Linked DNA regions of Anolis sagrei. The main gene of each other region encodes a partner of the protein of the gene in region 2 in a complex. Links are inferred from orthologs where the notes say so. Each region holds a gene or a part of one and is shown on either strand. Other genes may lie near its edges.

Region 1 (7,653 bases), on a different chromosome or scaffold from region 2:
GAGGCTTACCAATTGTTAATTTGACAGCTCCCACTTATCTATCTTGCAAGCCCTCTTTGAAAATATAGAAAATCAGAGAAAGAGAAACAAATTCACTTCATTCCAAGAGGTAGGAAGTGGTGGATCCAAGGGTTTTCGATCCCCTAGATCAGTGGTTCTCAATCTTCCTAATGCCACAACTCCTTAATAAAGTTCCTCATGTTGTGGTGACCCCCAACCATAACATTATTTTCATTGCTACTTCATAACTGTAATTTTGCTACTGTTATGAATCATAACATAAATATTCTGATATGCAGGATGTAGTTTCGTTGGTAAAAATGGAACGTAATTCAAGCATAGTGAACACAAAAACAATATGTAATTATATATGGCTGGAGAAAGGAAGAGAAAGAGGGAGGCAAGTGAAAGAAAAAGGAGAGGGAAGGAAAGGGGGAGAAAGAATGGAAGAGAAAGGAGGAGAGAGAAAAGAAACCTGGACCCAAAGGAGGCAAAGTGAGCAACTCCCTGTGAATAGTTGCGACCCACAGGTTGAGAACTGCTGCCCTAGATCAAAGCTTGGTGGTGATCTACTGGATCCCATTCTGGGATCTCTAATTGGGTACCACCAAGAGGTACTTTTTAATCATTTGTTAGCTCACAAGCATTCTTGCCTCCATCCAAAATAAACTAGAGGCTAGGATTGTAGGTATGACAATTAACACTGTGTGTGTGTGTGTGTGTGTATACACACACAATAAAAAGATGTAAACAGAAACAGTCCTCACATTCACTGGAGTTGCAGCAGGCATGGGCAACTTTGGCCCTCTGGGTGTTTTGGACTTCAACTCCTAACAGCCTCAGGACCCTTCATTTCCCAACCTATGGTCCGTGGACCACCAGTAGTCCACAAGAATGAAAATATGGTCCGGGGAAAGGAAGGCAGTTAGGAATTGTGGGAGTTGAAGTCCAAAGCACCCAGATGGCTGAAGTTTGCCCATGCCTGAGTTAGGGGCACAAGGACCCCCTGAAAGTGAGAAGTCACGAATAAAGAAATTGTCACACTGGAGGATGTAGATATTCCTAGAGAGGATGAATATCTGAATAACCGAATCCAGAATTAAAGCCGCATATGTGGAGGTCAAAAAGCCTGAGAGTTGTGCTGCTTTTAGCAATATCATAAAAAGAAGACTAAACCTTGAAAGCGATGCAGAGATTCAGACAGCCTCTCTTACAGGCACGAAGGAGAGGACTCATCACAAGAAACACAAGATGCATCTACACTGTAGAAATAATGTACTTTTGACCTCACTTTAACTGCCATGGCTCAGTGATATGAAATCATGGGAGTTTTACAAGGCCTTTAGCTTTCTCTGCCAAAGAGTGCTGGTTCCTCATCAAACTACAACTCCCATGATTCCATAGTGTTGAGCTATTGCAGTTAAAATGGTGTTGAACTGCATACATTTTACAGTGTTAGACCAGCGGCTCCCAACCTTTTTTTGACCAGGGATTACTTGACCAGGGACCACTTTGACCAGGGACCACTCTCTAACAGTACCAAAAGAGTTACGAATCAGTTTTTGGTTAAGTTTTGGTTAGGTTATTTGTGGTGCTGATTCAGAAAGTTGAACTGGAGAGACCACATCAGCTCTAGTTTCTGATACAGGACATTTGTCATTCAGTAGTTGCAATCTGCTCGTCCACAGAAAACCATATTTAATAATCTATAAGAGGGTTTTGTGAGACCAGTCGCTCTTGTTGCCACGTGGTTTTAAGGCAACGGTGTCGTAATGGTGAGGCTATGGACCATAGAACCATAAAGTTGAAAGAGACCTCATGGGCCATCCAGTCCAACCCCATGCCAAGAAGCAGGAAAATTGCATTCAAAGCACTCCTGACAGATGGCCATCCAGCTTGTTATTTTTCATTCTTGAGGACTACTGGTTTAGACACATCCACAGATCACTTCCTAGATGGCAAATAGCCTGCACTTCTACAGAAGACTCTAAAACTAAGATTTCTGACTCCAGTACCAGTTTCTGTCCTTCAGGAGCAGGTCTTTTGTAAGGCTAATAGCCCTTTGCAACCCAAGAAACTCTTATTACACCTCCCTTAATAATAGGGGAAAATTGTAAAATTATACTAGTAGAGGTAAAGGTTTTCCCCTGACATTAAGCCTAGTTGTGTCCGACTCTGTGGGTTGGTGCACATCTCCATTTCTAAGCCAAAGAGCCAGCGTTGTCCGTAGACACCTCCAGAGTCATGTGGCCGGCTTGACTGCATGGAGCGCCGTTACCTTCCCACCAAGGCGGTATCTATTGATCTACTCACATTTGCATGTTTTTGAACTGCTAGGTTGGCAGAAGCTGGGGCTCATGCTGCTCCCCGGATTCGAACCTGTGACTCTTCAGTCAGCAAGTTCAGCAGCTCAGTTAGACTGTTTATCAGCTGAATTATACTGTTGAGAGGCATGGAGCTGTGGCAGTTAAAGCGGTATCAAACTGCATTACTTTTCAAGTGCAGATGCATCCAATGAAAGCAGGAGGGAGAGTTGAGAGGAAAATCTATGCTCTTGTAACTACTGTGAGAATAGCAGCCCAATTTGAAATTGTCAAATTGACAATCGCCAAGCCCCCATAAGCATGGAGTCGTGGCAGTTAAAGCGGTATCAAACTGCATTACTTTTCAAGTGCAGATGCATCCAATGAAAGCAGGAGGGAGAGTTTGGGGATTTCCCAAAGGCAGCCAGGAAAGGTCCAGCAGGGGCGTTGCCCGCCGCAGCCAGGTGACTTAGCACAAGCTCCCTGCCCCGAGGAGCCTCCTCGCTCCTTTCCCCATCCCTTCCTCCCTTCCTTTTTCCTTCCTTACCTTCTTCATTGTGTTTTCCAAATCCATCTTGGTTCCGAGTCCAGCAGGATCCAGGGGAGACTGCAGAGGGAAGAGGCGCCTGCTTGGCTTTCTCGCCCTGTGCCCTCCTGCTCCCTTCCTGACCCTCGGAGGCGGCTCTGCGACCAGCCCCTTCCTCGCCTCTCTCTCTCTCTCTCTTCCGCTCTCCTGCGGCTGCAGTGGGGAGGAGGGAAGGAACAAAGGAAGCGCTGCAGCCAATCAGGGCTCAGCACGGGAAGGCCCGCCAGCCAATCGCGGCGCCTTCCGAATACCTTTTTGCTCCTGCCCCGCTCCGGAGAGAGACTCCCTAGAGGGGCCAACTGGGATACAGTAGCAATTTGCCACCAGCAGTCTCCACCATAAGAAGGAATGTAGCTTGGACATTTCCACACAGCTCTATATCAAGGCAGAAAATCCCACATTCTCTGAATGTGGACGCAGATAATCCAGTTCAAAGCAGATATTGTGGGATTTTTTGCCTTGATATTCTGGGATATAGGGCTGTGTGGAAGGACCCTGGGCTATCTGAGGGCCCTTCCTCTCAGCCCTATATCCCGGAATATCAAGGCAGAAAATCCCACAATATCTGAGTGTGGATTTAGATAACTCATGGCCCTTCCACACAGCCCTATATCCCAACATATCAAGGCAGAAAATCCCACAATATCTGCTGTGAACTAGGTTATCTGAGTCCACACTCAGATAATGTGGGATTATCTGCATCAATATTCTGGGATATAGGGCTGTGTGGAAGGGCCCCCAGTAATCTGAATTCACACTGTCATATATTCCAGTTCCAAGCAGAAATGTGGGATTTTATTCAGCTGTGTGGAAGGGGCCTTTGACACCATTTTGGCCCCTTCTACACTGCCATCTAAAATCCAGATTATCTGATTTGAGCAGGATTATATGGCCATCTAGACCAGTGATCCTCAAACTAAGGCCTGAGGGCCAGATATGGCCCTCCAAAGTCATTTATCTGGCCCTCGCTCAGGGTCAATCTAAGTCTGAAATTAATTGAAAGCACACAACAACACCCTATCGTATCAGCCAAAAGCAGGCCCACACTTCCCATTGAAATACCAATAAATTTATATTTGTTAAAATTGTTCTTCATTTTAATTATATTGCTTTTAAGTGGTTTCTTGCACTACAAATAAGATATGTGCGGTGTGCATAGGAATCAATTCTTTTCTTTTTTTCAAATTATAATCCGGCCCTCCAGCAGTTTGAGGGACTGTGACCTGGCCAGATATCATCCAGTTCAAAGCAGATAACGTGGATTATTTGCTTTGATAATATATATATGGTAGTGTAGAAGGGGCCTTTGACTGCCCTGCCTCAAGTCTGGAATCCTGGGAGTTGTAGTCTTTAGCCCTTTCCCTACCAAAGAGTTGGCTCCTCAGCGAACTATAACTCCTCTAGGATTCCATAAACCTTGAGCCATGGCAAGTGGTATCAGAGTGCATGCATTCTAAGGCTGGATCTACACAGCCATATAAAATCCAGATTACCTGCTTTGAACAGGCTCATATAGCAGTGTAGACTCGTATAATCCAGTTCGAAGCACATAATGTGCATCATCTGCTTTGATAATGTGGATTATATTGCAGTGTATATATAATCTAGTTCAAAGCACATAATGTGCATTATCTACTCTGATAATTTGGATTATATGGCAGTGTAGATCCAGCCTAACAGTGTAGATGCATTGGCCCCTCTGTTTTTTCCAGCTGGGTCTTTTGTAGATCCTTCTGAGAGTAGATCTGCACAGTAGAATTAATGCGGTTTGATGCTATTTGAAATGTCATGGCTAAATGCCATGGAACCCCAGGATGTGTAGCTTTGCAAGGTCTTTAGCTCTTTCTGCTAGAGTGCTGCTGCCTCGCCAAAACTACAACTCTCACAATTCTATAGCATTGACCCATTAAAGTGGTGTCAAACTGCATTAATGCTGCAGTGTAAAGCCATTCCAAGTTTGGTGAAGCACTAGGACTCTTTGACAGTGAAGGCTAAAGACCTTGTAAAAACAGAAGCTCCCAGGATTCCATATCACTGAGCCATGGCTGTTGAAGTGACGTCAAACTGCATCCATTCTGCAGTGCAGATGCACCTTGAGAGCCATTCGTAATGAAGGAGGCATCTGATAAGGTCACTGCAAAGGTATTTGCTGACGCAGGCACAAGGCTCAGGCAATTAACTTCAGGAAGATTTGTCTCCATTTCTCTCTGCCTTTCCTGAGGGCCATGGGAGGGAAAATGAGAGCCATTTATAACAATTGCCGTGAGCCAATGGCCCATGAGTCGTAGATAATCCCCCTCGATTCATAAAGGGCTCCTGAACATCCAGTGATTTATGGCATGTAGGAAATGAAATCTCTCCCCATTTCCCTCCCGCCTTTGTCATTTTTCATATCGTCATTTTCTACATGTTGTTTGCTTTACTTTCCAGCTGCCTCCGGGAAATGAAACAAAACTGAGGCCTTGGAATGGCTGTCAAAGCCATTTAGCTTTTCCAGGCCGGCCCTGCTGTTAGGCAGAGTGAGACAGAAGCCTTGGCCGGAAGGTTTTGGCTCATGATGTAAGGCCAGAAAATTGTGATTACTTCATTTGTTATTATTGGGTCTCTCTCCCTGCCTAATCTGCTTTAGCTGCCAGAGATGGAGAAAGGCATGGATGAGATTTTCTGACTTGTTTTGGTAGGTTTGGCCCTTTTTGTATTCACAAATTCTGCAACCACAGATTCCATCATCCATGGTTGGAAAATATTATGATATCCAAAGAGCAAACCTTGATTTTTGTTATTTTATAAGTGATACTATTGTACTGCGCCACTACATATAAAGGGATAGGCACCTGCAAATCCACCAGAGTCTTTGAACTAACCTCTAGCAGTTACCTGACCTGCTAGACCTCATCTTTGATGCTCTGCCTTAGGCAACAAATTGTATTTGGTGGTTACTGGGACTTTTTCTCATTCCCTTGAAGGATACTGCTACACTGGACACTTAGGTTTATATGAAATGAGCAGAGAAGAAAGCAATTTCACTGTGCAAATGACTGCATGTTGTCTTGGAATTGGTTCAAAGCCTGGATGGTGCTGACACATTGCAGAGACTGGCTTCAAAACTGATCCAGGATCTCAGTATCTGCAGCTTGACAGCCATATAGAAATTATGTTCTTTATTTGGTTTCACCAATTACACTTATTATTGTTCTTATGATTATTATGTTTATTTATACACTGCTTTTTTCTCCACAAGGAGACTCAAAGCAGCTTACATTAAAAACATTCCCATACTATGTCCATACTTAGGCACACTTGTGTGCATTATGGGCACTCTTTCAGAATATCCCCCAACTTTGCTTATCCTCGTTTAAAGTCTTTAATGTGCATTGCTGTGTGTGTTCATGGCATACGTCAATTAAACACTGTGCTGTCAAGCTATCTTCAAACCACCTTATGTAGCCAGTGTACTTACTTACTTAGGTGACCCCACATTGTCCGAGTAAGATTGTCCTCCAAGTGCGGTGTCCTGGCGGTGGGTACGTAGGTGACTGAGGAGTCCTATTCTTGACCTGCATGTTATCCTGAAGTGAAGGAATCAGTTTCCCGATGGAAGGTGGTCCCAGACGCGCCTTCCTCTTGTCACATTTCTCTCTTTCGCCCTCCATTTGTGCCTCTTCAAATTCTACAACATTGCTGGTCACAGCTGACCTCCAGCTAGAGTGCTCAAGGGCCAGAGCTAGCCATCATCACCCTATGAAGGTATCACCCTTCTAGCCTCCACTGGGAAATTCCTTGCAAGAATCCTTGCAAACCACCTTCTACCTCTCTCGGAAGACACCCTTCCAGAATCCCAGAATGGCTTCCGGCCCTCCAGAGGAACAGTGGACATGATCTTCACTGCACAACAGCTTCAAGAAAAATGCAGGGAACAAAATCAACCTCTGTACATGGTATTCATTAACCTTGCAAAGGCATTTGACACAGTGAATCACAGTTCTCTCTGGGCCATCCTCTAAAAAATCGGGTGCCCTGACAAATTTGTGAACATCTAGCGGCTCCTCCACAATGACATGATGGCAACAGTCTTGGACAGCAATGGCTCCCAATGTGACCCATTTAAGGTGTGTAACGTAGATGCCACCACTTTGTGAAGAAGCCACCAGTTTGTATGGGCTTATCAAATTGTTAGCATAGCTAATAGCTAATAATATTGATTTGGTCTTTCTTCAATGTGTAGCGTGACTTAACTTGGAAAGGATTTGTAACAGAGACCGGGCTTTATAATAAACTGTAACAAGTTTATTGAAATGTAGCAGAAGCTTGATGGTTTCAATGTTTCTTGACTCTTAGAGGCACATATCTTCAGAGGTTACATTTATAACATTCCTTAAAACAACTCTGGAAAGGACTCTTCTACTAAACAGGTTTCAAACTTATTTTTCTTCAAACTGTGTTTCTTTCTTTAATAGATTACTTCCGATACAAGCTTATTCTTTCTTTGTGATATTTCTGTTGTAATAAAGATTCTCACTGGGTTTCTCTCCCCCTTTTTACTCACACACTAACTACTAATATAAATAAGTCAACTAGACTTATCTAAACTACCTAGGTTAAAAGCCGAAACCTTCCTGATTCTCACTACAGTAGAATCAGCCTTTCCCTGTAGTTTTTAAACTATAGTCTACCTTCCTGGTGCTCTCTACTACAGAACCAGCCACTCCTGGAGTTCACAGACTACAGACTGATTGTTTTTAAATGGCTGTCCTGCCAAGTGGC
Region 2 (7,533 bases):
GAAATGAATACGTCTGCTCAGGTTCTCTCGGCTGCCACTCCACTTACAAGACAGAAAGGCAGTCAGGTCCTACCCATGTTCACTGCAATCATGTACTTTGCATGTAATTGGATTGATATGCAAAGTTCCTGTATGCTGAATACATGAAGTTTGTGAATAAACCAACTAAGTTACTTTTAAAGAAGTCTATTTTTGGGTTGTTGTAGGTTTTTCGGGCTATATGGCCATGTTCTAGAAGCAGTCTTTGCTGATGTTTCACCTGCATCTATCGCAAGCATCATCAGAGGTTTATTTTTGTCTCTTGAGAGCATGATTTAAAGGCAAATATATTTTAAGGGAGAATAGATGTTTTTGGGCAACTAAAAAAACACTTCTGAAACTCTGCTGTATGTGTGTATAATATATATACACAGAAAGCAGAGTAAGAGAGCAACTTTGCACGTCCTTTGAAATGTCAGCTATATATATGGGAGTTAGTCAATGAGAAACATTTATAAAGGATAACAAGATAAAAAAGGCCTTACCCATACACACCTGTACTCGATGCCACTTACTTCAAAAAATGGGAAACCACTTTGTTAACACTGTGCAACTACAACAAGGAGCTTTTAATAGTGGGAGAACAGCAAGGAAACCATTACTAGTGTTCACAGACCAAGTTATATTTTGGTAGGTAAAGCTGAAAAAGAAAGTGTGAGCCTTCTCAGATTATTCCAGATCTAGTTAAGCAGGTTTTGGCTGCAAGGAACAGACTCAAGATATCTTAGGAGCTCAGAAACATTTCCTGTAAATGTAAAAAGGGCCCCGCTCTTCATATTCTCTCCTGTGAACCCAGAGCTGTTGGAACGCTTTGAGGGATGCCAGGATGGAGCCTCCGGTCCATACTGACGTTTTCCTTTCAGGGGAAGCCGATGAAATGGGATTATCATTTGGACACATTCGAACAAGCTCTCTCTGGAAGCGGTCAGCAAAGCCCTTGATCATGGTGCAGCCCCCACACAACAGGATGTTGCCCATCAGGTTCTTTTTGAGGGCAACATCACATTTATTCAGAGACGTCATGGTCAGGAGAGGAAGCCCCAGCTGTTGGGAGTTTACCATGGAGGGCTTGAAGAGTATTTCCGTACATGCAAATCTTTCTTTGCCAATAATGATGGTTTGCCCATCAGGAAGTTCATATTCAATCTCATGCTTCCTAGAAGGCGCAGCTGCATCCTGTGGATAATCCAGTGAAGTGAAGCAATAGTTCTCTTTGATATCTTCCAAGACACGCCAATCCTTCTCCGTGAACAATTTCACAGAATGGTTTAAGAGATTCATCAATTGCTGAGTGACATTCGACCCAGCATAATCCACCCTTTCAGTAATGTTAGGCAAAGTATAGCCTTCATAAATGGGAACCACATAAGAAACACCATGGCCACTCTCCACGACAAGGCCAGATGTCTTTCCATAGGAATACATCGACAATCTAGACTGGTAAGCAATGTGCATGGCTGGGGTGTTAAAGGTTTCAAAGAGCATTTCTGCATACTTTTCTCTGTTGGTGGTCGGACTCAGCGGAGGATCCGATATTAAAACTGCATGTTCCTCAGGCCGAATCTTCATTTCCTCATGGAAAAGATATTCCCATATGTCCTGAATGGTATCCCAGTCCACTATGATTCCATGTACCAAAGGGTTGACAAGCTTCAGGGGTATTGTTGCATCTGCAAGTTCTCTGCCAACAAAGGTTTCTTTCCTATTATCACCTGTTTTTGCAGTCTCCTGGAGATGCTTACCTACAGTAGATGAAACCACATGGGTTGGCTTTGGTTCTCCTGCAAACCCACATTTGCAAGAGCCAGTACCAATATCTATGACAACTGCTCTGGTTTCTTTCACTATCCTTCTTGGAGCTGAATCTTTCTCCTCTCTGTGTTTGCTGCTGGGCTTGAATACTGTTCTTTTCTTTGATGGCACAGATCCAAAACTTGCATTCCCTCTTACCGACATTTTGTCTCCAGGTCCTCATTTAAATCCCATCTCTGTATACTGATCGCTAGGTCAAATGGCAGGAAATATCAGAACCTTCAGAAAACAAAGGCTCTATACTGTGACATCATCTATGATGCAGCCCTAGGCAGAAAATGGCTAGTCACAGGAAAACTGTACTTTCTGGGGCTCTCCTAGGCTGAAATTTAAATTACTGAGTATGAATTAGATGCATGCTGTGAACTCAAGTATCAAAGCAAACAATATCTGGTAGTTACCGGATTGTTTTCTGGCCTATTAAGTGATGCTGTGGATTATCCTTAGTAATACATTTTAAAACTGTGTCTCAAAAGGTCAGCTTTCCTCCATCCTTAAGTACCTTTGCTCTCTTTCCAGAAGTGTAGCAGGTAAATTCGGTAACAGGGTTTATGGGGAAGAGGAGTGTCAAAAGCCTATTTGAGGATTGCTAATATTGACCAAAATTCCATTGCCAGTGCCAGCTACAGTAAACCCATTGGGCCTCTAACAATTCCTCTATCATGCTCCATGTAATTAGCCCTAGGACCAGGAGTCAGACATAATTTATATAATGAAAGGTGACAGATTCACCCACAACAAATTGTATTGGGGTGCAATTTCAATACCAGGTGTTGAATTCAATGCCAGCTGAGAACTTCATGTTTTGCAGGATTTCAGCAAGGGAGGAGAGAGAGGGGAGAAAGAATGTAGTATCTATTTACAGTTTAGAAAGATCTATGATATTCAGCACAAGACTTGGATATGCCTCACATTATGGTGCTTTTGACACATTGGTTGAGAAGACAGATTTGATTAGCCATGTTGTTGTCAAGTAGACTTCTTATGGTTAAGTGGGCTTATGGTGGCTTGAAGAGTTGCTTCTCATCTTTTCTTGTTTTTCAACATCTACAGAAAAGTACTGGGAAGTAAGGAGCAGGGGTGTTTAATGTAATTGATTTGATGGTGCTAAATCAGCTCTCTGCTATCTTTCTTCCAAGGAGGGTAGTGGAAATGCTAAGCTGGTGCCTGAGGTGAGTGAAAGTCTGAGTGTGCATAATAAGATTAAGCTCAATGAATGTGAATTGGTCTGTTGGAAGCTGAGGGTTCCATAAGGTTCCACTAAATCAAGTTTGCCACTTCAGGCAACTCTTGAGGCCCAGCTCTTCTTCTCAATGTTCAGGTGACAGCTGTGGGCAGAAGTACTCTTTCTCCTTTTTGGCTCATGTGCCAGTTATGCCACTTTTGAGAGGAAGTAGATCTAGCCATGCTATTGGCACATACTGTAGTCACCTTGAGATAATGTACTATGCATGGAAGTTCCTTCAGCAATGGCAACACAGAGCAGCCTTGTTGTTGAGTGGGTTGGTCCCTTGGCTCATGTGAATCAACAGCACTATTGGTTACAGCCCTTTATAATCCTACTTGCCCTTTGAGATCAACTGGAAAATCTCTTTTATGCATCCTGGCTGTGATGTATAAGAAAGTCTCCTCTGTGGTGACTCCCAGCTGTGCAACCCCCATGTTTCCAAAGAGCCATCTGCTTATCTTCTGTTTGTTGTTATTTCACCTACTGCGTTAGACACTTCAGTTCCAGGAAGCATTTATATGTCATATTCTCTGTTCCAGTCTTGCATTCTAATGTTGAGTACATTTCAGGGACACAAAGCTTCGTATGTATAAACAGGACTGATGGCTAACAGTACTTTATGAATGTCTATCCAGAAGGATGTCAAATCATTTGATTCCAGTAGACTTTACTTTTGGGATAAATGTACATAGTATCACATAACCTACATAACAGAGATACTCTGACTGGGATTTAGGAATGTATTCACGCACGAAACGATTTAACAATTCCTATTTGCCTGAGTGAAGCAAGGCCTTTTGTTATCCGACTTAGCCACGGGGCAAGATTGTTGTGAGGATAAAACAGAGAGCACTTTTCTGTGGCATCTTGAACTTCCGTGGAAGAATAACTTTATTTAAATAACTTTATTTTTGTACCCCTCCTCCATCTCCCTGAAGGGACTCGGGGCAGCTTACATATGGCAGAATGTGCCTAAAATAACACATAAAATAAACACACAATACAAGATAAAACCAATAACATATAAAACAAAGTTTAAACTCAAAACAGCACCCAATAACCTATGATGATAACATTTAAATGGCATTCAAGAGGCCCCACTCAGACACCCCATTACCATTTATTCAGCACAAACTCACACCAAGTACGATAGGTGTAGGATATGAACTGGCATCCAAGCTTTAGCCAAGATCTTAAGTCAGAAATCATTATGTGTCTCACATTCATAGTGGCTGCTTTGAAACAGGTACAGAAATAAAGCCACGGATCAAATCTGAATTGCAGAAGGGGATACTAAATATTTCTAATACTAATATTTCAATCTGACAGATTTCAGGCAAAATACAATCTGTTTACTCCTGCAAATACATGCAGCAAATCGAATACCAACTTGCTATTGGGTAACCAAAAATAAACAGAGAATGCCAAATGGACAAATTTAAACCCAGACTGCATTTCAGTTAGCCCTCTAAATATAAAATGGCTTATTTATGCTAACTGCACACCATGTGTTAGAGATGAAGGTTTACAGATGCAAAAGATAAAGCATTGCCTCTTGTACAATAAGTCCTCATCCTGCCTATGTCCACCTGAAAAACAACCACCTGTGGTTTGTCACACTAAGCTGGATGTTATAGCAATACTCACATTTTGGTGTATTTAATAAGACAGTGTAATAAGGTATCCAGATTAATGTTTGAACAAAGGAATAGATTAGGACAGATCATTTTGGCCAATGTTCCTTAAGATGTTCCTTTAACTGAGGGATAGTTGGAAGCTGTTGTTTGCATACATGACACTTTAGAGGTAGTTTCAAGAGTGCGGATGCATTCTTATCTACAATTACTCTTCTTTTCGTCTTCACCATCTTAATTACATCTGAATGGGAATGGGGAGAAGGAAACTTCAGATTAAAGTTCAGCAATAGTCATGCCTTTGAAAGTTATATGACTCAGCTGTCAAAACATTACCTTAACACAGAGTGTTGGTTTAGGACTGAAATTCCCACAATCCATCACCAGTGACTTTGGTGATTGGGTCAGATAGGGATTATAAGCCAAAAATATCTGAAAGTTGATTTGCCAAATGCTAGCACAGAGAAACTGTTCTCCCCCAATGTGCATGGTAAGAAATGAAATCTCTTATTATTAATCTCTTATTACAAACAGTTCCTTTTACCAGTAGCAATATATTTTTTAAAATTGTGCTCTTGAGCAATGTGCCCCAAATATACAGTAGTGCAGAAACATACTCTTACCCAAATTTATACTGAAGGGACAATCTAACTCTGTTCTAGAAAAATTATATAAAACCAGATAAAACTATATATCACAGTAGCAGCATATTTAGTTAGTTAGGTCACAGTGTTCATATACAAAATGAGGGGATTATGCCATCTAAACTGTCCCCTCACTTACTATCCCCCAGTTACTTTCTCCCACCTTGGTATTAGTACCATAAAAGGACTGTCAGAAAAATGCCTCTTTCAACATTAAAAGCAAACCCAAACTTCACATGTGGCTAATGCAAACTTAAGATTAGAATGCTGTCACACAAAAGACAGGGGGGGAGGGGGGACTAAAATCAAAAGAAAAAAAAGGTTATGAGTAACTTTAAAATATATTTAAAAAGAGATGTCCTAACCTTTGGAATCTATGAAGTATTCTGTGGTAAAGGAATTCCAGTGCTTCTTGGTTTTGAAGCATTCAGAATCAAAATCCTGACTGATAACATGAAGATGGAGGTGGCTGAGAAGAGAGAAAAAACACAGAACTATTGTATTGTCTTACTAGAAAGGAGGAGTATGCTATCTGTGGCTCTCTAAATGTTAAGATGCAAATCTCCCCATTCCTCACCATCAGCTATGCTATTCAGGAGTAATGGTGTAGAACTCCAGCTATGTCTAGACAACTACAAATTGACCATCTGGTGATCAAGGGACAAAATACAAAATGTTAAAGGCAGCCAAAATACCCAGGAAGTTGTTGGGTCCTTCACTGTCAAGAGATAAAATCACCCTTAATTTTATGAGCAGCTCCGCAACAACTGGTTCAAATTGTACTGGAGCTTTCATGAACCTCATTCCAAACACAGATTGATCACTGGACAGATCTTGAACAATCTGGAGCAGCTGAGGTGGGACAATAAAAGACCCATCCTTGCCAGGACTGTTCTGCTCTAAGGCAGTTTCTATACACCCCAGGACAGCTGTGGAAAAGCCAACATTAAAACCAAGGGCAAATTCATCACTCCACAGTAATGGAGCCACCAACCAGCTCTTTGTGGCACAACGAGTAGGAGCTGATTGGTGAGCTTTTGGCAGAAGCAGACTGTTAGGGAAAACTACCCTAAAATATAGCAGAGCATCCAAAAATCAAACAGGATACAAAAAGTTGAGCATCAGCTCATTAGCTAGCAGAGCGTGAAGTGCCATGTGATGTGGCTGTAAAGAATTCGGAGCTTAGGAGGCAAACATGCAGAGTTCAATCTTTAAAAAATCACAAAAGGTTTATTTACAATAATAAGAATAACTGCATTTCTTAATAAACAAGAACTGGGTCTGAACTACTCTAACACCCATCTCTTCTAAGGCTTCAAAGGGAGGGAAAAAAACACCAATCACTACATTTTTCTTGAGACACAAGCAGAGAGAGATCTCAAAGCACACAGCACATACTCTCCATAATAAAGTGTGAGAAAGCAGAAGTCAAATTCAAAAAGACTTGCAGTAGAAAAGTATCCATTTTAAACAACCAATCAGAATGAGATGAGTGAGGAAATAAATAGATTCCCGACTGTCATTCAAGAGACATGGTGTAAGGGAAACCCTTAGTCCAGGGGTCCTCAAACTTTTTAAACCGTGGGCCAGTCATAGTCTCTCAAATTGTTGGAGGGCCGGATTATAATTTGAAAAAAGCATGAATGAATTCCTATGCACACTGCACATATCTTATTTGCAGTGCAAAAAAACCCACTTAAAAACAATACAATAATTAAATGAAGAACAATTTTGACAAATATAAACTTATTAGTATTTCAATGGGAAGTGTGGGCCTGCTCTTGACTGATGAGATAGGATTGTTGTTGTTGTGTACTTTCTAGTTGTTTCAGACTTAGGTTGACCTTGAGAGAGGGTAAATAACCTTGGAGGGCAGTATTTGGCCCTTGGGCCTTAGTTTGAGGACCCCTGCCTTAGTTTATACTAAGCTAACTAAACTGTTCCTCATTGAGGACTGTGTTGAATTCCAACACAGACTAGGACCGATCAATCACAAGAATTATCTTTACAGTTCCTACTGGGGCAAATATCTATGTTCCACATGGCACAAACTCAATCTGAACACAATTATACATTACCTCATGCTAGGAATAGCATGGTAGCCCAGTCTAAAGCGCAGCTGATCTTTCTGAGGACACTGCTCGATTATCTTTTCTCCAACAGTGTGCATGTGTTC

Evidence for each region. Proteins that work in one complex are often made in the same cells at the same time.
Region 1: the proteins of ACTL7A (region 2) and TES are in contact, whole or in part, in a crystal structure (PDB 2XQN), measured with the Homo sapiens proteins. The link is inferred for Anolis sagrei from reciprocal best matches to the Homo sapiens genes ACTL7A and TES. Residues at the interface, in NP_006678.1 of Homo sapiens: Leu28, Gln29, Thr30, Ala31, Ser32, Leu33, Arg34, Asp35, Gly36, Pro37, Ala38, Lys39, Arg40, Ala41, Val42, Trp43, Val44, Arg45, His46; in NP_056456.1 of Homo sapiens: Asn311, Glu312, Tyr313, Thr314, Gln315, Ala316, Glu317, Leu323, Phe326, Leu335, Ala336, Gly337, Glu338, Ile339, Tyr340, Val341, Tyr353, Pro370, Glu371, Val372, Gln373, Arg374, Val375, Thr376, Tyr377, Ala384, Phe389, Leu398, Ile399, Gly400.

The regions. Positions count from the first base shown.
Region 1 is NC_090025.1:131,546,259-131,553,911, forward strand, and holds the start of TES (testin), read right to left. Parts: upstream 3,051-7,653; 5' UTR 2,878-3,050; coding exon 2,851-2,877; intron 1-2,850. UniProt on the Homo sapiens protein: Scaffold protein that may play a role in cell adhesion, cell spreading and in the reorganization of the actin cytoskeleton. Plays a role in the regulation of cell proliferation. May act as a tumor suppressor. Inhibits tumor cell growth.
Region 2 is NC_090022.1:150,570,752-150,578,284, reverse strand, and holds ACTL7A (actin-like protein 7A), read right to left. Parts: upstream 2,764-7,533; 5' UTR 1,996-2,763; coding exon 772-1,995; 3' UTR 594-771; downstream 1-593. Other genes in the region: APTX (aprataxin), read right to left, coding at 4,803-4,957, 5,723-5,826, 7,436-7,533. UniProt on the Homo sapiens protein: Essential for normal spermatogenesis and male fertility. Required for normal sperm head morphology, acroplaxome formation, acrosome attachment, and acrosome granule stability.